Linked DNA regions of Drosophila melanogaster. The protein of the gene in region 2 purifies or fractionates together with the protein of the main gene of each other region. This does not show direct contact. Each region holds a gene or a part of one and is shown on either strand. Other genes may lie near its edges.

Region 1 (8,014 bases), on a different chromosome or scaffold from region 2:
GTACTTACAATTTAACTACCACATGTTCCGCCCTCCGCAAGTATAGCTTTCCTGCGTCAGTGCCTGCGCTGCGGATTGGACTGAAGCATCCGCGCGAACCGCCTCACCAGGAAAGGCCACAGGATGAGGACGGCAAACCAGAGCGGGGAGATGTTCCTGAAGGGCCACCAGGCGGGCAGTGATCGTGGCTGCGCCACCGTTCCTTTCGCTGCCTTTTGGCCGCTGCGAAGTTCGTTGAGCGACTGCTCCAGGCTGCGAACGCGCTGCTGCACTGCGCCCACATCGCTGTTCATCCGTGTGATAGCAGCCTGGATTTGACGCAGCAGGTCCGTGTTCTGGCCAATCGCCTGGGTCAGCTCGTGGCTGAGATCGTAGGGATCGTCGTACTCATCGTCCGAGGGATCCACGATGGCCACGCTGCTGTTGCTCGTAAAGTTGTGCGTGTCATGTTGTGTGTAGCTTGCTGTTGGCTTAGGTCCATAGCCATTGGTCAGTGGCGGCGAACTATGGCCATTCTCCTTAATCGTTTCGGATGTGGCCAGCGGTGCGGTGCTAGTCGCCTGAGGTTCCGGCTCCGGTTCGCCATTACAACTGGAGCCGTGCTGGGGACTGTTGGTGCGCGAGTGGAACGGCGAGTTGGGATGCGACTCGGCCAGCTCCTTCATGCCGGGCGAGACCAGCTCCAGTTCGTCCAGGCTGATGTTTCCCAGACTATCGAGGCTGCCCACAAAGTTCTGCACATTCTCCGTGAACGACATGGTCTCAATGATCTCCTGCAGGCTCTCCACATAGCGCTGCATCGCCTCCTCCTTGGTCAAGTGACGGTTATCGTTCCATGCCTGCCACTTGGCCTTGCCTACGATGTCCCAAAAGCCGGGCTTCTTGTCCACATCTGGTCTACCCTCGGTGGCCTGTTTGAACAGCCCGTAGAACTTGAGCATCATGCTGGTGCTGGGCTGGTAGGGGCCATTTTTGGGCAGACCCTTTATCACATTGACTGCCGCCTGGAAACGCTCCTCAATCGCCGCCATACCTGCAAGATTATCCCGCGATTAGCCAGGGCACTCGATCGATAAGATACACAGGTACGAAGGCTGCCATATAGAGGCGGTGCCAAGTTCACCTTGTCCAGGTGAACGTCGCTTACAAATTACCTAATTATTGTGTGCAATCCGCGGTGTTGCAAACCCCACTTTCGGCTCCCCCTTTTGTTGTTGTCGTTCGCTATTGATTCCGATTCCGAATCCGAGTCCAAATCCGCTGCTGGGCATTCATGAATTTTTGGGTGCGACGTTCGTGGATGCGCTGCTGTGGTGCCAAAGTTCGAGTTCTGAAGTCCAATCTTCTGAGCTTCGAATCGAATCGAGTCGGCTGGAGCTTTTTCTTAGTTTGGCCCCCGTTCTTATCGACCTCGCTGAGGAATTGTTGTGTGCTGCGCCAACCGCTGTCGTTCCAATCGAGTTGCAATCAAATAAAACTAAACAAAAACCCGAAAACTCTCTCTGCAAATCGCTGAGCGCGTACGTGTGAGTGTGTAGGTGTGCATGTGTGCGGGTGGCGCAGGGCTGCAACGAAAGTATCGATACAGGTGCAGAGTGGAGATGATATTTTTGTGAGCGCGAATATCGCGATTTAAACAAAAATAAGAAGTTTTTATTGTCCATAAATAAAATTATAAATTAGTATTTTGCGGAAAAGCATAGGACCAATCAATGAATTTATAAAGTAAGATTATTTAGTTTTATTTATTTCCAGCCACATTTAATTATAGGTAAATATAGGTATAGTAGGGTATAATAGGTATAGTATAGGTATAGTATAATTATAGGTATAGGCTTTATCGAAAGTCAACTATCGCATGAGCGCAGACTTCCATCTTCCATTGAATATACCGCTATTCATGGTATTTTCCAACGTTCGCGCATACGGTCACTCACTTTTTCATTTCGTAAAAATCAGCAATCGAATTAAGTGCTTAATTATTTGCATTATTTTTAGAGCTTTCCGAAAGCTGCCAACGTAAAGTCCGCGAAGCGCCTTCACTGGCCGAATCGGAAATAGCAAAATCGAAGCACCAGAGATCGAAAGACAGCGCATTCGATTCGATTTCACAATAACTGCGAACCGAGGGCGGAGTGGGAGTGTCTGCCAGCGCGGAGAAAAGTGAACGCATTGCAATTAAACATGAAATTTGCTGCAACGTCGACGGGAGTACGACATTTTTGTATTATCAACGCCAAGCAGCAGAGCCATCAGAATCAGCAGACTATATATAAGATACGGCCGCAAAAATCGCGATCGGAGTTGAACAATTGCAAACGGCAAAGACAGTCGTGTAGAATTGCCAAAAATTGGAAGCACCAAAGTTTTTGCATAGGTGCGTCCTGATCGGCAACGTTTCGGGTTAGAAAGACAAAGATTAAAAAATTGACAGCTCGGCTCAAGAACGCAATTTAATTTCCTAACCTAGAGCATCAAAATCAATAAATCGGAACCAACACGTGCGTTTCAGTAGTTGCCGCCAAAGCAACGAAAGTGTAGACATTTTCGCCGTTGTGTAGACTTCGACGCCTGTTCTCCACCTTTTGAGGACCCAGAACAGGAAAAGGACACTCGGCTACAAAGCATCTGTTTTTTTTGTGTTTCGTACCTTGTGTTTGAAACAGTAGGCTAAACAATAGAAACCAAAACGTCGTCGTCGAGTTCAAACAGCAAAATACCTGAACGACGCAAAAACAACAGCAACATGCCGCGACGCAACAAGAAATCAGCAGCAGGCAGAGGTGAGTCACAAAGAAAAGAGAGTGTGTGGGTGTGCACAGAAAAAAAATGCGAGGTTGAACGTATCCAAATGCGTATAATATATCTATTGGATACGAGTGTGAACTTCCAGCTGAAACAATTGACTTTATAGGCTTAAAATTAGTTATTTTGCCTTTAGTAGCAACATTTTGGGTTTAATTACCATCTTAACCTCATGGTTTTCTTGTTTTTTACAAAATAAACGAATTAAATCGCACATCTGAACAATAGACTTAATAGTATATCCCCACAAAAGCCGGCGAGGGTAGGTGAATTTTCACAGCTGCTTTTCGTTTGACCTTTGCATTAGTCATGCACTGACTAATGAGTACCGTGCACTGTTTGGTGTATTTCGTTGGCTTCCAAACGAAGGAAGCTTCGCTGCCTGCAACCTGTTTGTCAATACCCTCGAAATGAAATAATTATTTTCGTTTTGTTGCTGTGCTGGCACCAAAAGCTTCACGCGCTCAGCTGGCTGCGCAACAACAAGTAATCAGCGGTTCACTGAAAATATATATACATACGTATACATATGTAAATTTATACAGCTTTGCCCACCAATAATAACAATATAACCATAGTAATTTTGACAAAAATTCCAAATTATGTAATATAAAGTTAAATAGCTGCATTTCACCAAAGGAGGAGGTTTTAAGTTTCTGCGTTGTTTCTATGTTGAGCACAACTGTATATAAATATAAATATACTTGTTCGTGGAAAAACATACGTACACATATGTATATGTATATGTGTACGCTCAATGCCAGCTTATCAGAATCACGCCTATAACCGAATACCTCAGTGCAGGGTATCAGTGGGTATGTTTTCGTAGGGCGTATCAAATTATGTATTCTATTTAAGTGCTCTATTATGCTAAGTTATTATTCAAGCTGTACCTATTTATATAGTTAAATATCCGAATTGGTATTTATAGGCTCATCATACAATCATTTACAAATATTAAATTTAAAAATAAAGAAGCGGAAGTTGTGGCTCTTCGGGGAACTTTCCTCGCATCTAAGTATATACCTCATGGGTGACCTAAAAACTTACGCAACTTTGTGTTATGCATTAGTCGCTCTCAAAACACAGATGGTTTACTCGCCCGAATCTAATCCAAACAACTTTCAAGCAAAACCAGCTGTTTTCCACTGCTTTTGATTCGTTTTTCTAGCCCGCAGTTACCGCATGCTTTTGTGTTTGTAGTTTGCTCGCAGCTTTTGTGAAAGGCAAAACAAAAAAAAAAAAAACACAAAAAACGAGGCGGAAACTACCTTGCCCCAAATAGAAAGCTGAAAACAGGCACTGGGAAATCGCCACAATGAAAGTTGTGCTCTACGACGGGTTTTCTTCGACGCAGTTGGCCAGCAAACAAAGTGAAACATCGAAAGATGGATAGAAAACTTGTTGCACAACATTTGCGGCTCCCGAGCTGTTTTTCTTGAAGGTCATTGCTGTGTGGCAAAGCGTGTAATTGAATTTCTAATTTCAGTACATATACATTTCCCCATCTAAATGAGCACACAAGCAATTGAATGAAAAGCTGCTCGAAGACGGCAAAACTTGATGCCTCTTTTCAGCTGGTTTGACAGTTACTGAAGGGAAATGTGGGCACTTGCATGAGGGTGGTCCCAATATTTTACTCCATTTAACAAGGAATACAAATGGGGTTCTGAAAATAGAATAATCATTACATTGGTATTCACTGAGTTTCCATTTGCAAAATGCTTAGCTTACATTCCAATGGGTTCGTTGAATGCCTAAAATGTGCAATTAAGCATATTGTTCAAAACGATAGCTGTTGAAAAAGGCTCACAGGTCGCATTAGCATAATAAATATTTATGAATTATGCTTGAAAAACTCGCTGAGTATAGCAAAATACTTCAAAAAAAAACCTTATTAATTACCCAAATGATTTCTTTTTCAGGCCGCACCAATGACTCCAATTCTGAGGACGAGTCCTTTGACAATGTGAGCGTTTACTCTCATATGTCCGAAGTCGCATCCTCGGAGGCCACCGACGAGCTGGCCAATGAGCGTTTCGAGGAGAAGTTCGAGAAGGCCCTGGAACAGGCCACCGAGAAGTCGGCCCAGACACGTGTGCAGGCTCTGCAAGCGATTTGCGAACTGCTCATGCACCGCTACATGCCGGACTTCGTGGAGGACCGCAAGATGACCCTGATGGATTTCGTGGAGAAGAGCATCCGTCGAGGCAAGGGCCAGGAGCAGGTGTGGGGCGCACGACTCGCGCCCCTGCTGGTGCTCCAAATGGGCGGGGATGAAGGCATATCCAAGGCGATGAATCAATTCCTGTTGAACACCGTTCAGGACAAGTCCGTGGGCTTCGATGCCCGTGCCAAGTGCTGCACAGCTGTGGGATTGTTGAGCTTCCTGGGCTGCGAGGATGTTGGGGAGTTGGTACACCTGATGCAGAGCTTCGAGGCCATCTTCGCAGGCAGTTATTTGCGTGGCGATGACAAGACACCGGTATCCGTCACCGCCGAAGCTGGGACTTTCCATGCGGAGGCCTTGAACGCCTGGGGGCTTCTACTAACACTTATACCTTCGGGGGATTTTGTTTCGTTGATGACCACTGGCCAAAACATGTTTCCGTAAGTTTGAAGAGCAAGTTCCATTTAACTTTCAAACCCATTGCTATAATTGTTTAAACTAAACTTTGCAGATCTATTAAGAAGTTCTTGGGTCTCTTGCAATCTACACATTTGGACGTCCGCATGGCCGCTGGCGAGACCATTGCTTTAATTCTGGAGTCGGGACGTGCTCACGAAGAGGATTTCCTAGAAGATGACATCGCTGAGTTATCGGAGGCCGTCAAGCAGCTGGCCACGGATTCGCATAAGTACCGCGCCAAGCGCGATCGCAAGGCCCAGCGTGCCACCTTCCGTGATGTGCTGCGATACCTGGAGGTGAGTTGAAGATTTGCACGAGTGCTACGCTTAAACAATAGGGATTACATTTATTTATTTGACTCGAGATGCACTAGTCTTTGGACGATTACTTCATGTCAGTGCAAGTGAACTTGAGCTCGTGCTTGCAGTACTTGGCCAAGCACTTGGAGTGATCGTGCAACTTGTTGCGCATGATGACGCAGCCGTTCCGGCTTATCGAGTCCATGTACTCGCTGAAGGTCGGCACCTTCCGGTATGTGGTCGGGGCGGAGTTCCAGTGCGAACTGCTGCCGGATTCGATGGTCTGCGAGGAGTCCGAGAAGCTGGTCTTGAATGGCTTGTAGTTCTTTTGGCACTCGTCGCTAGACATCTCGTAGCCAGCGGACGCCTCCCGCTCCAGTTCGTTCATCACGTTCGAGCGGAACTCGTTGCAGGGTCCACGTTCGCTCATCAGCTTGTTGGCGTTCTTGGACTCGTCCTCCGTCTTTAGGCTCTCATAAATACCCTCCGGGTACTCGTTCATGTTACAGTAATCGATCTGATAGGTGGTGTTCATACGGTTGGTCTCCAGCCTGCGGCTCAGCTCCTCCTTGGGCATGACCTTCAGGCGTTCATACAGATCCGGGTAGACTGTACGTAAGATCTTGAGAAAGCGGTTGGGTTGCAGCTTAAAGCAATCTGTTTCCGCGGAGAAGGCCATCTTGTCCACCTGGTCCTGAGTCAGCTGGGTGGGTATGATACGCGGATCCACCAGCTTTCCCATTGGCGCTATGCCCGTCCACTCGACGCCGCCACAGTCCTTAGACGCGTTCGGCGGCATCATGATCTTGGACTCGTCGACGCATTCGCACTCCTTGACCTGCGGACCACTGTGAGCCTCGGCGCCCCTGGGCCGCGTTAGAAACTCGTACCGTTTGGCACTGGGCGGGACATAGTCGTGCTGATAGGTTGATAGCATCATCTTGATAACGAAATCTACAAAACTAATTGGCCAAAACAATTTTTTTTAGTAGTTTTTTTTTTTTTAACGAGAAATTTGGTCTGTTTGATCTGATAGAGAAACTAATAGTGATACATTTCAAAATCGTACGAAATGAGATTAGAATATTTGCTCGTAGCCTAGCCTGATTTTAAAGTTTTTTTTATCTCGTTGCAGGAGGACATTTCCCCAGAGATTAGCATTCGTTTCGGTACCGAGTCGCTGACACTAGATTCCTGGTCCATCCATCATCAGTATTCGGCCATGTGCACTGTCATGGGTCCCGGGATGACCTCGCAGCTGCAGGAGAACGAGTTCATCCGTGACATCTTCCAGCTGGGACCACGACCCACGAACACAGGCATCAATGGAAACGCCAAGGTCAAGCCGACCAAGCTGGAGCGGGTAAGTTGATTGAAATGTGTTAACATTCGCTTCAAATTTTAATATATTTATATTTGTTGCTTTTGCAGCACCTTGTGAATGCTGCTGCATTCAAGGCACGCTCCATAACACGTGGAAAGAATCGTGACAAGCGATCGGCCGTCGTCACTTAAACCTGTGCTTCACCCACCAACCGTTCCCATCCACAGACACCCAAACCAACCATCTCAAACCCCGTTAGCCAACTCTGGACTTACTAGTTGAATTGTTTCTAATTTTAGCTTGAACCAGGCAAAGCGTCGCCAAAGCTGAAGAACTAAGTCTAAATTTAGGATAATTCAGTGTAATCTACAAAATTTCTCTAGTTTATTAACCACATGTTGGAGCCATTGTTTGAATATTATGAAATATTTATTGCGTGCACGCACAGTGGTTGTTTATCAGTAAGTGCATGGCTGGCTCCAGCTTGGATCTTATTCTTTGTGAATTTAAATTAACACTGCGATTGTTACGACTGGCATTTACGCTTTGCGATTTGGGTTAACCTCTTTTGTTGTTGATCTTTTTAAATTACAAGCGTAGGAAAACATAGTCTGCTTTAATGCTGCGAAAAAGTTATTCATAACTTGACATGGCTTTTAATACGCATAATAAGCGGCTCTATGAATACATATATTTTGTAGTAAATAAGTGTAAAATAAAGTTTAGGCTTAAACGAAAACTACTTGAAATGCATTCTTACTGGTGGGGATACAACAATGGACTCCTTTTTAGAAAACACTTAAAAAACAGTTTGCGTTTTATAAATTGTATTTTATTTGTTAGTTTTATCACAAAAATTGTATGGTAACTTAAATTGTATGTTGGATTCTTTCCTTTTGTGGATTTTGTTTTGTTTTTCTTTGCTTTGACAAATTTTGTGTAGTAACTACAATAAAA
Region 2 (5,049 bases):
GTAAACAGCATCTCATTTATAAAATTATTTATATGGAAATGAAATAATATTTAACAGACCGGTATGCATTTATTTATTATTATTATTACAAATTAAAAATAACCTATAATACACTAGCTTACACGGATTACTCCGTATAGCCGCAAACTCAGATATTCAAAATGGTTTTGCTTTCGATATTGTTTAAAATTTATTAGTGCATTACCAACGTCAAATGGCAGTTGGCGTCCAAATGCACGGCATTTATCCAAAAGTCAATACATTTTTTTTTGAAATAACGCATAAAATCGAAATAAATTAAAGAATTCAAAAAGAGTGCAAAAGACTTCCTCTGAAAACATACACTGTGTTTTTGAATGGCTCCCTTTCGGTTTCTTGCAGCTGAAAAATGTTTTTTTTTCGAATTTCTTCGCACTTAAAGGCGTTGCAATGGGCATGGAAAAGTCAATAGTCAGCTGAATTTAATATAAATACATATATTCTTCAAAGGAAACAACAGTTTTGCGTTTATATTTGCAGTTTCGCATCTGATTTCTTATTTTAAGTGTATAAAATCATATTCAAAGAAAAAAAAAACTACCTGATTCGTTTTATATATATATTTAGTATCTATAAAATATTACATATTTATTTTTTAGATTTACATTTATTTACGCCCCTTCCCCTTGCGACCCTTCGAACCCTTTTCGCGCCTCTTCTTTGCATCCATTGACCGCTTGTCCTTCTTCTCGCGCGGATCGACGACCTTATAGCGACCCTTGACGCCAGCTGGACGACGTGCGCGTCGAGCTGCTGTCTGCTTCTTGGCCACCACATATGTGACCTCCTTCTTCTTCTCCTGAGCCTTCTTGTACACCTTCTTCAGTTGCTTGGACTTCTCGTGGTTGGTGGCATCGCTGTTCTCCATAATCTTTTCGGCCATCTTCTTAGCCTTGGCCAAGCGTTTCGTGGCACGACGATGCTTGCGCGCCTTGGCCTCCATGACCTTCTTGATCGGACGCACGTTCACCTCCTGCAACTTGCGCTGGTACTCGGCGGTCAGCTCCTTCGGCACCGGTGTTGGCTTGGTCATATGCTCGTCCTCATCGAGCTTGAACCAAACGGGAACGTTCTCATCGTTGAAAGCGTAGCGATTCCAGGCTGCGTCGATCAAGTCACGGCGTGTCTTCTTGCTGCGTGTCAGCAGTGCGCCCAAAGCCATTTCGTTTTCGGACAGGCGAACCTTCTTGGCATTTGTACCTGATAAAAAGCAAACGAGAATATTAGGTTTAGGAATATTAAATGCTTATTTTGAACTCACCTGCAGCTGGCTGTTCGCCGTCGCTATCCTCGTTAGCGTCATCCTCGGATTCGGATGACTCTGAGCTGCTGTCTTTAGTTGCGGTCTCATGGCGTGCACGACGTTTGGCCTTCTTACCCTGGACAACCTCCTCGTTGGCGTCCGGCGTTAGGGTGCTCTCACCCAGAACGGCGACACCCTTGGCCTTGAATTCCTTGGCCAGATTGTTCAGATCGTAGGTTTCCTCGTCGTCATCCGACTGGATATTCTGTAGTACATCCTTCTCGTACCACAGCTGTACGCGTTGCTCTCGCTTGGTGTTTTTGTCACGGAAATCATTGGATTTAATCAGCGGATTCTCGGAGCGTTTCTTTCTCTTGTTTTTGCCCTTTGCATTGCCCTCATCATTGTCGTCGTCACTGAGGCCCAGGCCCTGCTTATCATTGATTTGATCCTCGTCGTCGGAGGCCTCGCTTTGCTCCTCATCATTGTCATCGTCATAGTTTAGATCATCGTTGATGTTGCCCTCATCCTTGTCGAAATACTTGTATTTTGGCAGCTTTGTTTCCTCGGGCTGCGATTCATCGACAGCAAAATCGGGTTGCACGTCTAGCAGCTCGTCAAGCTCGGCAGAGGTGCGAATATTCTTGAGGTCAAAGATTTCGTGCTCCATTTCCTCGACCGGACCATCGTCTCCCTTGATCACCATATTAAGGTTCATCTTCTCGTGCAATTTCGCCTTGGTCTTGAGCGTCTTCTTACGCTTACGCTTCAAGTCCTTCTTCTCCTCTTCGACAATTGTCTCAATTTGCGTTTGCAGCTCGGCATCTTCCATGTCCTCGATTTCCGCTTGCGTCAATGGCTTGGGCTTCTCATCTGCGGCATTGCCGACGACCAGTGGGGTTTCCTTTTCAACGAACAACTCCCTAACATCCTTCCACCATTGCACGAGACCCTTGATATCCTTGCGGCCCAATACCTTCAGATCCTTGCAGCACTCGAGAATCTCTGGCGTGGTCTTCTTGTGATTGGCAATGCGCTGATCATCGATGCGAATCGAACCGATGCCCTGCAGCGCAGCCAGTGCATTTTCAGCCTTCAGGAACTCTGTGGCAGCCAGATCGTTGCGCAGCGCAATATCCTGGGCCGTATAGCCCTCGGCCTTGATGCGCTTTTGCTTTTCGGGATGCAGCAGGCTGCTCTTCTTTTTGGCATCGAGATCCAGCTCCTCGAACACATACTTCGAGTCCAGGAGACGGGGATCAATGTGATCGGGCGCCAGGTAGCCCTGACAGACGACGAATATCTCGGCGGATTCCTTACGCGACGCACTCGGCTTGGTGGCGTGCACCTTCTTGAACAGCTGCTTGAGCACCCAGAGCAGGGCATTGTAATCCTTGGAGCGGAAAACCTTCGTCACAAACCAGCCGCCGTTGCGCAGAAACTGTGTGCTCAACTTGAGCGCGTTGAGGGTGAGACAGATCTGCTGATAGGCATCGTACAGCCAGTTCCTACCCACATTGGGAGCACCGTCGTGGAGCACAACATCGGCCTTCCACGATTGCAGCTCCTTGGTCAGCGATTGGCGGCACTTCTCGGTGGTGATGTCCTCGACGAGACCAATGCAGCCGGCAATGGGACGGATGGGAAAGAGATCCACGCCGATCACAATGCTGGACACCGGCATATTCTGCTTGGCCACCTGCATCCAGCCACCGGGAGCTGCGCACAAATCCAAACATACTTGCGATTGTTGGAGGAAACCGAATTTGCGATTCAGCTGGATCAATTTGAAGGCGGCACGCGATCGCAGGCCCGTCTCCTTGGCCAACTGGTAGAACTTATCCTTGCGCGTCTTTCCAACTTTCGTCTTCTTGCCCATTGCTGCTGGCTTTTCGTACAATTACGATAAAAATCAAAACGAATTCAAATCAAATGTCGAATTCGTGCACGTGTTGCCAACAGTGTGGCCGTATTGACAATTCAAAGTATTCCGGGCAGTGCCAGCATGCGCGTCAAGGTAGCGGCGATTGAGTGCTAGATAAGTGGAACGTGTTCTTAAATTGTGGAATGCATTGGGGCAGCGGGTGAATTTTTTTAAAATTTCTACTTTATTATTTATAAATTTAAAATTGGTCGATCAAAGTGATTTATATAAATTACTACACACTTTTGGGAATAACTGTAAGATGTGGGGTGAAGTACATTAAGCCGTAATGAACCATAATAAAAATAAAATACGCCTAAAATTAAAATTTTTTGTCTGTTTTACAGCTGCCAAAAATCTAAAAAATTAAAATTCTTCTGTTTTTATTGACCAACCCCACATAAAAGAATGATTTCTATCTGTGAGCCAGATAGTTTTAATTAAAGAAGAGCAAGTGTATCTACAGATGCTCCATCTCTTTCTATTACGTGTATAGATTATCTGCAAAGGATAACGCCCTTTTCTTTAATACTCCCAAAAAACCATTAATTAATACTTCGTTTTGATTTATTAAGTTATTTGTGTAAAGTTGTGTATTTATATATTTTTCTATTGTTATCCAAAATGTTTAATGCAGTACCTTACTTACTGAAATACATTGAATGGTTTCATTTGACCGTAATGTGAGCGAAAGTCTGTCAAAGACATATGTTATTTATCATTTAAAATTATAATCGTTTTGTATACTTTCAAATAATCTGTTTTCATATCCGTTTTAATTGGGGGCAAAGAGTAGTGTACACTTCTTACTAAGCGAAAGACGAATTTGTTCTTGATTTTATAATGCAATTAAGTTGGGAAGTTCGTTTTTATAGCAAGAAATCCATTAAGATTTAATGTTTAATACTTTTTAGGATGTAAGAAACAAACAATTGTTTTGAGACTTTTAAAATACACGTTAATAAATCTATTAAATGTTATAAGCTGTTAAATAATACAATTCGTCCTTCGATAGAAATGTGACATTTTGTTTATCCAAGACTTTTCTTTTCCGTTTTTACATTCAAAATATTTTTGTAATTAGTTGACGTGTGTGCGGATAACAACAACATGTATTATTTATTTATTTGATATACATCGTATACATGGTTTAGTTTCGTATTTTCGTATTGTTCAAGTTTTTAAAAATTTCGTACAGTTTTAAATTCAGTAAACACTATTTTGCTGTCGTATACGTACTGTAGCCAAAAAAGAATCGTCATAGTATGATTTACATGCAATATTTGTATATACCCGCAAATGTAGGTAAATGTATTAAAATATATTTATACACAGCTGCGGTCAAAATAATAGCTCTGAAACTTGTGCCTCCTCCACTCGTTGTGAAAATATTCGTATACTACCAGTTTAATCGAGTTTCTTTGCATATGTTTTCGATGGTTAATATATAAGCTAAATGGGGCTATGCAGAAAAAGTCACTGCATTGGTTATTAACCCTTTTTAAAGAACGTTGATCAAATTATAATCGCTTAAGCGAATTATTACGTATTTATGTATTTTACAGTTGACATGCCACAAACAACATGCTTTCCATTTCAATTGATTGTGAATTAAAAAAAAAAAGCGAGCAAACTTTTCGTTTTATGTTCGGGCAAAAAATATTCTTAATTAGGCCATTATTCAATTGTCGACTTCTTAATACATCCTGCATGCATATATTGTTAAAAAGCAGGAGACTGTGTCAATTAAAAAACCATATCAGCTTATTTACTTTCTTTTTTGATTTAAGCAGGCAAAGTTTTTTCTGCCAACCAAAATGTAGCAAGCACAAACTAACTATTA
Region 3 (5,894 bases), on a different chromosome or scaffold from region 2:
TATCTCAATCAATAAGTGCACTGCAAGACAACTATTTTTGTTACACCCATATGGTTTTGTCTCTGTGGACATCGGATATTTCTATTAATGTACAAATTCTGTGACACTAAACTATGATGATCCGAGAAAACGGCATTCGTCGAATCCTTTCCGGGGTTTCCATGCGGATTTTAGAGAAACATATTCCATAAGCACCTCTTGGAAATGACCCTTTACAAGTACTGAGAAAAATCTGGAGACACATGTTCGGAAATAAAATTTGGGCCTATTCTGAGCACCCCTCAACTGCAGAATTAGTGAGCAGAAGTTGTTAAGCGTATGGGTGATCCTGCCCCATGCTCATGTGGCATCTGGCATGTGGCTTCTACCACTGGGTTAATCGACAGCGACTAAGAGAGTGCGAACTGGTCCAGGGGGAATCGAAATAAAACCATATGCGCCCTGAAAGTATTTTTGGAACACACGAACCCAACGAAATGGGAGGATTCGTTGGTTCGGTTGATTTCATGTCATTCCTGCTGCATTTTTGGTGGCTGTCGCCACACCCAAGTCTAAAAAGTGTAGTTCATCGTTTATTGTGTATTATTTTAAAAACACTCTACATCCAGTAAACAAATATGGGGAGTGTTTCATTGGAGGAAGGCGATTTGTCAGAACATTACCCATGCGCTGAACGTCGGTCCCAATGCTTCTGTGGATTGATAAAAAAAAAAAATGATACAATCAGTCGCGGCAATACTGTCCTACGCAATTTCGATTATGTTCATTTATTTATATTAAAAGTAGCAAGGAACCAGTCAATTACGTGACTATCTGCGGGAAGCGGCAGCAGTGCGATATTGTAATTGATGCAGGCACGGAGCTGTTGAAAGCAGATCTATAAACACAGAACGAGATGAATAAGTGGTGGCAGCTGTTTCTTTTTTCTGTTCGTGGGCGCAGGCAAGAAGGCACACAGGATGTGCGTGTCATCAGACAGGCGCGCCCGAATCCGAACCGGAGCCTACCCTCACTTGACCTGCGCAGGGTAAACACACCCTGTGGCACATCTCTCGGCACGCACATACTTCGCCGTGTTCTATTTGGGTCACGTGTGAAAGGAGGACTTAGTTCCGAAATCAAGGGCGCAAAACTAAAAAGCATGTCTCACTTTTGACTTTACAATTGAATGGTGTGCTACTAGAACATTGTCCGTTTTGGTAGGGAGGAGTTAAATGAAAGATATGGTGTAACTGTACTAACCTGCGTAAAAACTCCTACTTCCTTCTTTTCGAGCCCCCAGTTGATTGAGCTTTGGGGCGCTGCGTTTTCCGCATGCTGCGCTTGCGGTTTTCGCTTTTCCTCTCTGCGTTCTCTTCGTTGCGCTTTTTAATGAACTCCAGTCGCATGCGAGACTTGACAATTTGCTCGGGGCGGCGCATCTCCTTGTCGTTTCCGGTCAGTCGCTTCTTAAGTTCTAGCTTTAAGTTGTGCCGCGCATGACGACTGACTGGGTAGCGCTGGGCATGGCTCAACGGCTTGGCGTTTTCGTCATCACTACCTGCATTTTCGCGCTGCAGCTGGTCCTCGATCTTAGACTTCTCCTTCCACTCAGCATAACGACCTGTTTTAAAGGAGGCAGGAATCCACGCACCGGACTCGGTCCGAATTTTGTTGGCTCGCGGATCTTGTACAGAGACCATTTTTTTCTTAATTCGGTCCCACTTCTTAAGGCCGGGCTTGTGCTTCACTTCCTGGGATAAGTCGCGGTCCGACACCGAAAACTCGGCGTTCTGCGCCTGCCGCTCAAAGTTGTTAATGGCCAGACCATCCTCTGTGTGCTTGTCTGCCGACTGGTACGGCACATAGTGATCCTCGTCCTTGCTGTTTATCTTCCGCTTTTTCTTCTTTGGCTTGTCCTTGTAAAGGGCGTCCATGTTCTGGAGCCTCTTGGGCGCAACGACTTTATTGAAAGTACTACTAATAGCTTCCTCGTCGGCGGTGGGCATTCTGCCTGAGCTTGGGTTGAGCGCCTCGATCGTTTTCTTTTCCTCGTCTATGTCCTCTTCTGCGCGCTGCTGCCTAAACTTGTTGATTACTTCCGCATGCTGCATTCGTTTTTCCTTCATAACGATAAACTGCGTGGACTTTTGAGTGGTGTTGAGTTCAAAAACGGTCTGAAAAGGGCACAATTACTAATACGTGAGCGAGCATTTATCGTAAAACTGTTGAGAAACTCACACCACCAGGACGGAAACTACGCATCTTCACCAGTATATCGTGCTTTTCCTCCTGCAACTTGCGCTCTGCGGCGCTCACCTTTGCCTGCGACTCTGTTGATTGTCCACTAGCTTCAGCCGCCTGGGCGAGCACAGGGGCAGCTGTGAAGAAATCCTCCAATGGCTTGAGAGCAAAGAATTTAATTTTCTTTACACGCGCGTTGGCATCCGTGGAGGCTACTGGTCGGGAACTCAAGTATTTTTTGTAGGCGTTTTCGCTGGTGCGCAATACTCCGGCCTGCAGAAATACATGTACAATTACGTATCATTAGAAACCATAAAATGCAGTACACTCCATTTGAAACTTACAATATGGTGACTTTTCTTTATATCGGTCACTGTGAGGTGCTCTTCCTCGAGCAAATCTTGCGGAATGGTTCCCAATGCCGAGCTGTCGTGTATATTAAAGGGTCTGTTCAAGAACAAGTGCAGATCCAGTAGATGTGCTGTGTCGTCTGTGGATACAATAGAGTATGCGGTTCCTGTGCGACCAGCGCGAGCGCAACGACCTACCCGGTGGACAAACAGTTTCGGTTTACCCGGGAAGTGCAGGTTCACCACAAAGTCTAGACTGGGAATGTCAATACCACGCGCGGCCACGTCCGTGACTATTAGCACGGACACCTTTTTGTTCACAAATTTGGCGGTGTTTATTTTGCGTGCAGCTGGATCCAGGCTGGAGTAGACTGAGGCGTTGGAGATTCCAGCCTCAGTAAGTATGTACGAAATGAGTTCGACATGGTGCTGAGTACCGGCGAACACCACGGTTTGCGACTGCACCGGAATAACGTACTTAAGAAGAACCACAAGTGCTGTGTAGCGGTCGTCTGGTCGACAGTACAGAAACTTTAGAGCCAGCGCATCCGGGAGCTTGGATTCGACGTCTAAACGAATGAGCACTGGGTCGTTCAGTCCGGCACGGGCGAACTCTACTAGCAGTTTTGGCAGCGTGGCTGAAAACATGACCGTCTGCCGGGACGATGGCAATCTGTGCAACGTTTCGTTCAGTTGCTCGCCGAAGCCCATCTCGAAGAGTCGATCGGCTTCATCAAACACCACGTACTCTAGAGAGCAAATAAATTAATTCCTGCTTTTATGGTCCGCAACTATCAACTCACCTATGGAATTTAGCTTCAAGTCCATTTCTACGCACAAATGAAGAAAACGACCTGGCGTTGCAACAATTACGTCCGGACAGGTATGTATGGCCGAGAACTGTGAGTCCATGGAGTCGCCACCTAGCACCAGAATGCTCTTCAGTTCCATAAAGCGGCCCAGCTCCTTTATGAACTTATACGTCTGCACAGCCAGTTCGCGCGTCGGAGACAGGATCAGGGCACGGGCCCCCTTTGTGGGCTCGCGCCTCTGTAGCTTTTCAAAGAGCGGAATCAGAAAGCAGGCCGTCTTGCCAGAGCCCGTCTTGGCCATTGCCACCACATCGCGTCCCTCCAGGATCAGCGGAATCGTTTTCCGCTGTATGGGGGTGGGAACCTTGTAACCCCGCTTGGTGATGCCCTTTATCAGCTCGAAGCCCAGGCCCATCGACTGGAATCCACCACTCTTGTTCTTCTTGGACTTGGACTTGAGAATGTCGGCGCCCCGGTCGCTGGTGCCGGCATCGTTGTCCAGTGATGGAAAGCCTGGTATTTCATCCGCCTGCTTCTTACGCTGCCAATGCAAAGTATGTATTGAAAGCTAAGCAACAAGAGACAATCCTCTTACCATATTTTTTTTGTTTTGAATAAAAACAACACGTGCAAAATCGATGACTATTCCACACTATCGATAACTCCATAAATTATCCAACACTGATTTCTTAAAAATTGACTAACGCTACAATATACCGCATTGTAATTGGCGCTTAGATTTTCATTTGATTAACTCGCGTTTTATTATTTTAATATTTACTATTTTGAGTAGACCATCTTTTAAATCGACCATATATACACTGCCGATTAAAATTAGAGGATAGCTTACATATGCCCAAAGGGAAAAAACCTCATAAGACCTCGACCAAACGGGAAAATAACAGATATAAAAGACTGGTGCGATTTAATAGCTATGTAAATGTATTAAATAAATGCTACATCTTGTGCAGATTATGGATTGAAAATGAATTTTTTAAACGATATATTTCTATCGACATCCGAATTGGTTTAAAGCTCTCATAGCATTCAAGTTATTAAGGTTTCGATAAGAAATGGTATGAAATCGTCATTAAACTGGGTGCTTTACAAATGCACTTATCGGCTGAATATCCTAAATATACCTTATCGAACTTACGCTAAACTTATCTTTGCATTAACTAAACGTCCTCTCCAAAATCCAAGTCCGCCTCCGACTCTTGAACCAGCACCATCTGCTCCAGGCGGTCAATGCGCCTCAGCATTTCCTCCTTTTCCCGCTGAAAGGAGTCGGCCCGCCGCCGCAGGTCTTCGTTTTGACGCCGCAACTCGTGAAGCTGGCGACAGATCTCAGAAGAAGTTAGCAGCGGCATCACGTTCGGAGATTTCGGCGACTGCTTCGTCGCATTGACGATTGTCTTGCCAGGTGCCGCCCCGTTGTTTACTGCGCCTTGGCCGGATCCTGCCGAGAGTGAAGGTCGCAGCTGTATCGTCTGGACGGTGCCCACTTGTCCCCTAAGCGAACTGCCCGACGCGGGATGGCCTGAAGGCAGTGGGGATGGGACCGCGGCTTCGTTCTGGCTGTGTGATTCTTCTAGCGCAGTGAGATCCTGCGGCCTTTGCAGGGAGGGGAGCTTTAACTAATTAAGCGGGGTTCAAGTAAAGTAAGGAGGTGAGCTCAGAAACTATTTAATATTCACCTGTCGAGCCTGCAACTGGCGCATGTTGACTAGCTTTGTGCCATCGGGAAGATGCCGCACCATTCCAGAGCTGTCGATAAGGCAAGATCTTATATATATCTCCCAAATATGTGAAATTAACGTACCTTGCCAATGAGGCGGGTATTTTCTGAAGGGACTTTGCCGTGCTGTCCGATCCGTAGAGTTTCTTAAAATCAGTCAACGAGATAATGCGTATATTCTGCCCTCAAATATTAATTATTATACGAATTAGCGAAACAAAACAATGAAATGCATACCTTGTTCTTGGCAACTCCCGCCGGTGACGGAAGATCCTTCTGCTTCAGGACATTCATCCGAATCTTGGGATGAGAATTATTAACATTTGTGCGGAGCGCTGCGACCGAAGGCCGGGCGTTTCCGTTCGTGGATTGCTTGCCGCTGATGCCCGATTTTGTTTCGTGCAGCAGCATGCGTCCTCCTTCAGAGAGGACAAGTTGGCGTCCATTCTGCAACGCAGTGTTCAGCATTTCTTTCGAGTCCTCGTCATCGTTGTCCTGCACCATGTCTGCGATTTCGTGCGTCTTTAGTATGTAAAGCGCAGTGTTCCGCAGGACGTTTGCATCTGGCAGGGAAAATAGGTTTTTCGTTAAATATTCGTTTAATATCTCCGAATCTAGTAACTTACGGCCTCGCATGTTTTCTAGGACATCCATTCGTTCTTCAACCGACATTTCTTTGTCGTCCACGGTTTTAATTACTTCCGGTTCGTCCATTATTGAGCTGACAGCTTCATTGGTTTCCTTCTGCAAATCGATGGGGAATAAATATGA
Region 4 (4,367 bases), on a different chromosome or scaffold from region 2:
CGCCGCTTACGCAGAAGGAACCGATGACGGAGAACAACATTCAGATCGCGGCCACCAAGCCCGACGAGATCGATGTGGCTGCCCTGGACAGGCTGTTGTCGCATGCCTACAAATACCTTTGCCGGCGCGAGTCCAAGCAGCTGCCCATCATTGGCCAGATGTACAACGCCGTGCGTATCCTGCAGAATTAGGAGTGAGGATGACACATAAACACTTGGTTATTTTACATTTCTCTCATGATTTTTATGGATTCAAGAATGAACCCAATATTGATTGTTAAAGCACCACATGCGGTCCCATTAATTGTCTTATACTTATCAACCTAGTAGCGATTTAAACAACCTACGAAAAGCATCATATTAATTACTTTCAAGAAAAAGGATACTAAGATCTGCACCGATAGGAGGATGTATTCAACACGAATTTGATGTGAAGCTTATGCCTACAAGGATTATGAACATGTATATTTAATAAAATAAAAAAAAAAATTTTAATATTCTTTTACTAAATTTAAGGGATACCAAAAGATAAAATAACAATACTTTCTTTATTGATGCCCAACGTAATTTAATTTATATTTGAGCAGGGATCCAAGCGGGTCTTTGAACTTCGTGCCTTGGGCGCTGCCTCCAAGTTCTCCGCCTGTATTCGTCCGATTGCCTCCGGCGTGGGCAATCTCTCCGGCATCATGGTGGCGTGCACTTTGAGATGAGTGTAGACGGCAATGTAGCTCTGGCTGGTGTCCAGTTCGATGGGTGGACTCTGCTCTATGCGGCCAGGCAGGGCAAAGTGCTTGCCAAGAATGGGTTCCTTGAGAGATCGGGCCAGAATTTTTTGCAGTCCATCGCGGTCGGTGTCCAACTGCTCGCTGTTGAAACTTGAATTCATTGAGAATTAATTGAATCTAAGGATTTTGAATTCCAATGTGTAGTCCCTGGAGTTTTATCCGAACAAAAGATACGACGACCCGAGTTGCACTAGGTTAGTGGCACTGACTCCGACTAATCGAAAAACAACAGTTCCTCCTTCATGGCAACAAGTAGTTCAGTTTGGCATACCTTTCGTTTGCGAGGAGCCACCTCGGTTATGACTTATTTATTATTCGAGGCAGAAAGTTGATTCTCTGGTTTGTTCAATTTGGGAACTCGGCTGGGACACGCAAGGCCAAGAAGCAAAGAACTTGTTTCGTGGGTGAAGTTTATCATGTTGATAAACATGTAGAATAATGAGGAATGTCGTTAGAGACAGTTTCATGTGGTTCCTTAATAGTCGCAGGATTGCTTTTATAGGCATACAGTAAACTCACGATAGTGCTGACCTGACCATCTATTTTCTTCGTTAAATAAGTACGCTCAAATAGAATACGTTTGTATATAGATGTGTATTGGGCTTAGCTACAGAATGGGTTATAGAGGTTGAACAATCACTTAAGGGTTTACTAGGCTAGGGTCTCTACAGGCAGCGGGCAATCAGTTCGTTGATGGCAGTGCCACGATCGCCGTACTCGCCACCGCGTTTGTACGAGACGGATACCTTCTTTTGCCAACCATTGCTGGGACTGGACAACTGGAAAAAACCAAATGGCGGTAATAGTATAGTTTTAAGAATTGCAAAAGAGAAGTTGTTAACCAACCGTGAAGGCGCACAGAAACTCATTTACAGCGGCGAAGTTTGGACCCACTGTGCAAATTTCGTGGATTATATCCTCCAGACAGATGACACCCTTGTCGCCCAGCTGTTGCTCCACCATGGTGTTCGACTGGATGGCCGTCTTCTTGCCGTCGATGCGGGCGAAGCCCTTCTTGAAGACCAGCTCGCGAATGGAGCTCAGCGAGGGATTGCCGTAGACTACAAAGGGTTCGATAACGCGCAGCAGCAACTGGTTCTCCTTGGTGTTCTCCATGAAGACGGCGTTGTGGCGCGAGCCCATGCGCAGGGTTCGGAATATATCCGCGGTGGTCTTGTCGAAGATCTTCTTGCCCGCATGGCGCATCACGAAGAGCAGTTTGGGATTGGAATCGTCGGCAGCTTTGGCACTTTGTTCGGTGACATTGGTGCGCAGAATGGTTTGCTTGATCCGCTTGGACGTGCGCTCTGCTTTCAGGTAGCCCATTACGAAGGATTCGGCACGGCGGAATTTGTGGTGATTCTTGGTGGCGGTTCTCTTTTTGATGCGGTCATTTCTTTTCTGCGTAACAACAGATTCATCCTGCAGAATTCTCCTCTTGCGATGCTTTAGCACCGACACTGTTTTGCCGGGCAATTTGTTGGGCACCGCATATCTAGGGATCAAAAGTATAAGATAATGTTTAGGGTCAACACATTTTTATAGTTTTTCAATCACTCACTTGTCTGACATTGCTGGTATTTGGCTTTTTAATCGAAGTAAATTAAAACACGTGCAAGCACCAAAACAATAACTAAAAAGGATAGAGGTGGGCGCGGAGCGATAAGTGCTTTGCTATCGATAAGTGATGTGTGCAACAGCTGAGCGCGTTTCGTGGTGAATAGCTAACAAATTTGAAATTTTTGGCGGGAACATTTAAGAAATTGTATTATTCAACTGAAAACTATGCTTAATAGTTATGCCATAAGATAAATTTAGCATTAGCTAGCATTCAAGAGGACAGCTTTAATGTTTTCTTCTTGTAAGTAACCATTTGACATTAATTTCCGGTTTTGAGCACTCATTTCTCATTTTTTTTCTTTACACTCATTCTCTCTCTCTCTCTGTTTCTCTCTCCGTTTGCTGCTCTCACTCTCTCACTGCGTTTTAGGGTGAAAATTGCGTTAATTTTAGTATGAAAATGCCGGTCTCGATGCCAACGCACAGTCGCTGTTCGCAGTCAAAGCCGTTTTGTTGTGTCCGCGCTCTCGAGGTAAAATAAATCGTGTTTTACGTGCAAAGTCGCTGGGAACAAGATAAACCGAAATTAATCAGCCAAACTGCATTCCAAACCTTGCGAATAACCAACAAAAAAAAAAAGAAGCGAATAAAAGCAATCGAGCAATTGCCAGAAAAACTGCAACTCTGCAACTGCAAAATTCATTGCCACGCGTCGTAAGGTGATGACGAAATCGTGGAAATTGGCACGCGGCAAAGGCGTCACCATAAAAGTGGAGCTCCCCATTAGGCAGCTACACACCACAACATGCCAACCCCAAAAATCACCCTACTTTAAAGCTAAATTTCGTGTATCGAAGATAGTGGCGTCGGGGAAACATTCAAGTTTATGCCTGACAATGGGAGATTAGTTAGCTGCCAGCGAGGCAAAAATCGGGTCTTCTTCACTAGCAATTAGTAACTAAAATCAGCACTATAGCATTTGTTTACAATTTGCGCAACACGTGCTCGCGCCCCATTTGCTGATAGTAATGAAGGCTTTTTTTTCTACATTTCAACTTTTACCCTTCATTCCAGTGACAATGTGCGCTATTCGCCATTAGAAGAGGGTAAGCAGAAGAATCCCACAGTGCAGACATCATGACGGACCGATATGCCAATGGAGTGACCACCAGCCTGGTCGAGCCCACAAATGGATGCGCCGCGCCGGGTAATCCAAATCCCGCTGATGGCGAGGAGAAGATTGTCCTCAAGCGGAAGCTAACACTCATCAATGGAGTGGCCATCATAGTGGGCACCATCATTGGATCGGGCATCTTCATTGCTCCCACGGGAGTCTTTATTTACACCGAGTGAGTGGTGATACAGAGCATCCTCCTTAATTCAATTTATGCACAAAAAAGGTCAATTTAGCTGTTAATTAATGGATAGATTGTCGCAGGCATTCCTTTAGCACCAATTAAGATACATTTATTAGTTCTCGATTTTCCCTCAAAGATTCAACCTTGAAATTCTGCCCACATATTGCGTCAGCTTTTTAAAGTGTTTTTTTTTTTTAAGCGAATTGTCTCCAGTCACAAGAATAACGTCAATAAGGCGCGCCAAACATTTAAATTATTGATAAGAGCCACAAAAAAAGGTGTGCGTCATAAGCTTAAGGCGGCTGCGAAAAATTCCAGGAAGTTAAATTCATAAAAGTATTTTATCGAAATGAAAGCTAATCCCCAGCACTTGTTTTTTTTAGATGTTTTGTTTAAATACCATTTTACTATTATTGCTTACAAATATTTGCCACCGAGTTAATATTAGATCTATATTTATAATTTTTATTGCTTTATATATATATATATGTATGTATTCCCTGACCATATTTGTTTACGAGTGTTTATTTTCATTCAAATTGTTTATTGATTCGATGACTACTTTAAATCATTTCAGATCCGTGGGAAGCTCCCTTTTGATTTGGCTGACTTGCGGCATTTTATCGACGATCGGAGCTCTGTGCTACGCGGAACTGGGCACA

What was found.
Region 1: the proteins of CG8939 (region 2) and Ifrd1 purify together in Drosophila melanogaster (affinity purification with mass spectrometry, with the first as the bait; one large-scale study listed by BioGRID). This does not show direct contact.
Region 3: the proteins of CG8939 (region 2) and CG32344 purify together in Drosophila melanogaster (affinity purification with mass spectrometry, with the first as the bait; one large-scale study listed by BioGRID). This does not show direct contact.
Region 4: the proteins of CG8939 (region 2) and RpL7-like purify together in Drosophila melanogaster (affinity purification with mass spectrometry, with the first as the bait; one large-scale study listed by BioGRID). This does not show direct contact.

What each region holds. Positions count from the first base shown.
Region 1 is NT_033779.5:2,868,405-2,876,418, reverse strand, and holds Ifrd1 (Interferon-related developmental regulator 1), read left to right. Parts: upstream 1-1,929; 5' UTR 1,930-2,746; coding exon 2,747-2,783; intron 2,784-4,730; coding exon 4,731-5,415; intron 5,416-5,486; coding exon 5,487-5,730; intron 5,731-5,769; exon of another isoform or gene 5,770-5,818; coding exon of another isoform or gene 5,819-6,673; exon of another isoform or gene 6,674-6,767; intron 6,768-6,868; coding exon 6,869-7,096; intron 7,097-7,164; coding exon 7,165-7,248; 3' UTR 7,249-7,792; downstream 7,793-8,014. Other genes in the region: CG8814 (uncharacterized protein), read right to left, coding at 57-1,031; CG8813 (uncharacterized protein), read right to left, coding at 5,819-6,673.
Region 2 is NC_004354.4:15,995,236-16,000,284, reverse strand, and holds CG8939 (uncharacterized protein), read right to left. Parts: upstream 3,270-5,049; 5' UTR 3,162-3,269; coding exon 1,301-3,161; intron 1,240-1,300; coding exon 647-1,239; 3' UTR 587-646; downstream 1-586.
Region 3 is NT_037436.4:320,673-326,566, forward strand, and holds CG32344 (uncharacterized protein), read right to left. Parts: upstream 4,049-5,894; 5' UTR 3,984-4,048; coding exon 3,981-3,983; intron 3,927-3,980; coding exon 3,377-3,926; intron 3,323-3,376; coding exon 2,568-3,322; intron 2,497-2,567; coding exon 2,221-2,496; intron 2,157-2,220; coding exon 1,257-2,156; 3' UTR 1,243-1,256; intron 692-1,242; 3' UTR 561-691; downstream 1-560. Other genes in the region: Atac3 (Ada2a-containing complex component 3), read right to left, coding at 4,564-5,022, 5,083-5,152, 5,208-5,302, 5,361-5,686, 5,750-5,867.
Region 4 is NT_033779.5:12,054,414-12,058,780, reverse strand, and holds RpL7-like (ribosomal protein L7-like), read right to left. Parts: upstream 2,434-4,367; 5' UTR 2,360-2,433; coding exon 2,349-2,359; intron 2,283-2,348; coding exon 1,634-2,282; intron 1,567-1,633; coding exon 1,453-1,566; 3' UTR 889-1,452; coding exon of another isoform or gene 568-888; 3' UTR 530-567; downstream 1-529. Other genes in the region: Rab3-GAP (Rab3 GTPase activating protein), read left to right, coding at 15-191; CG34164 (uncharacterized protein), read right to left, coding at 568-888; JhI-21 (juvenile hormone Inducible-21), read left to right, coding at 3,485-3,696, 4,283-4,367.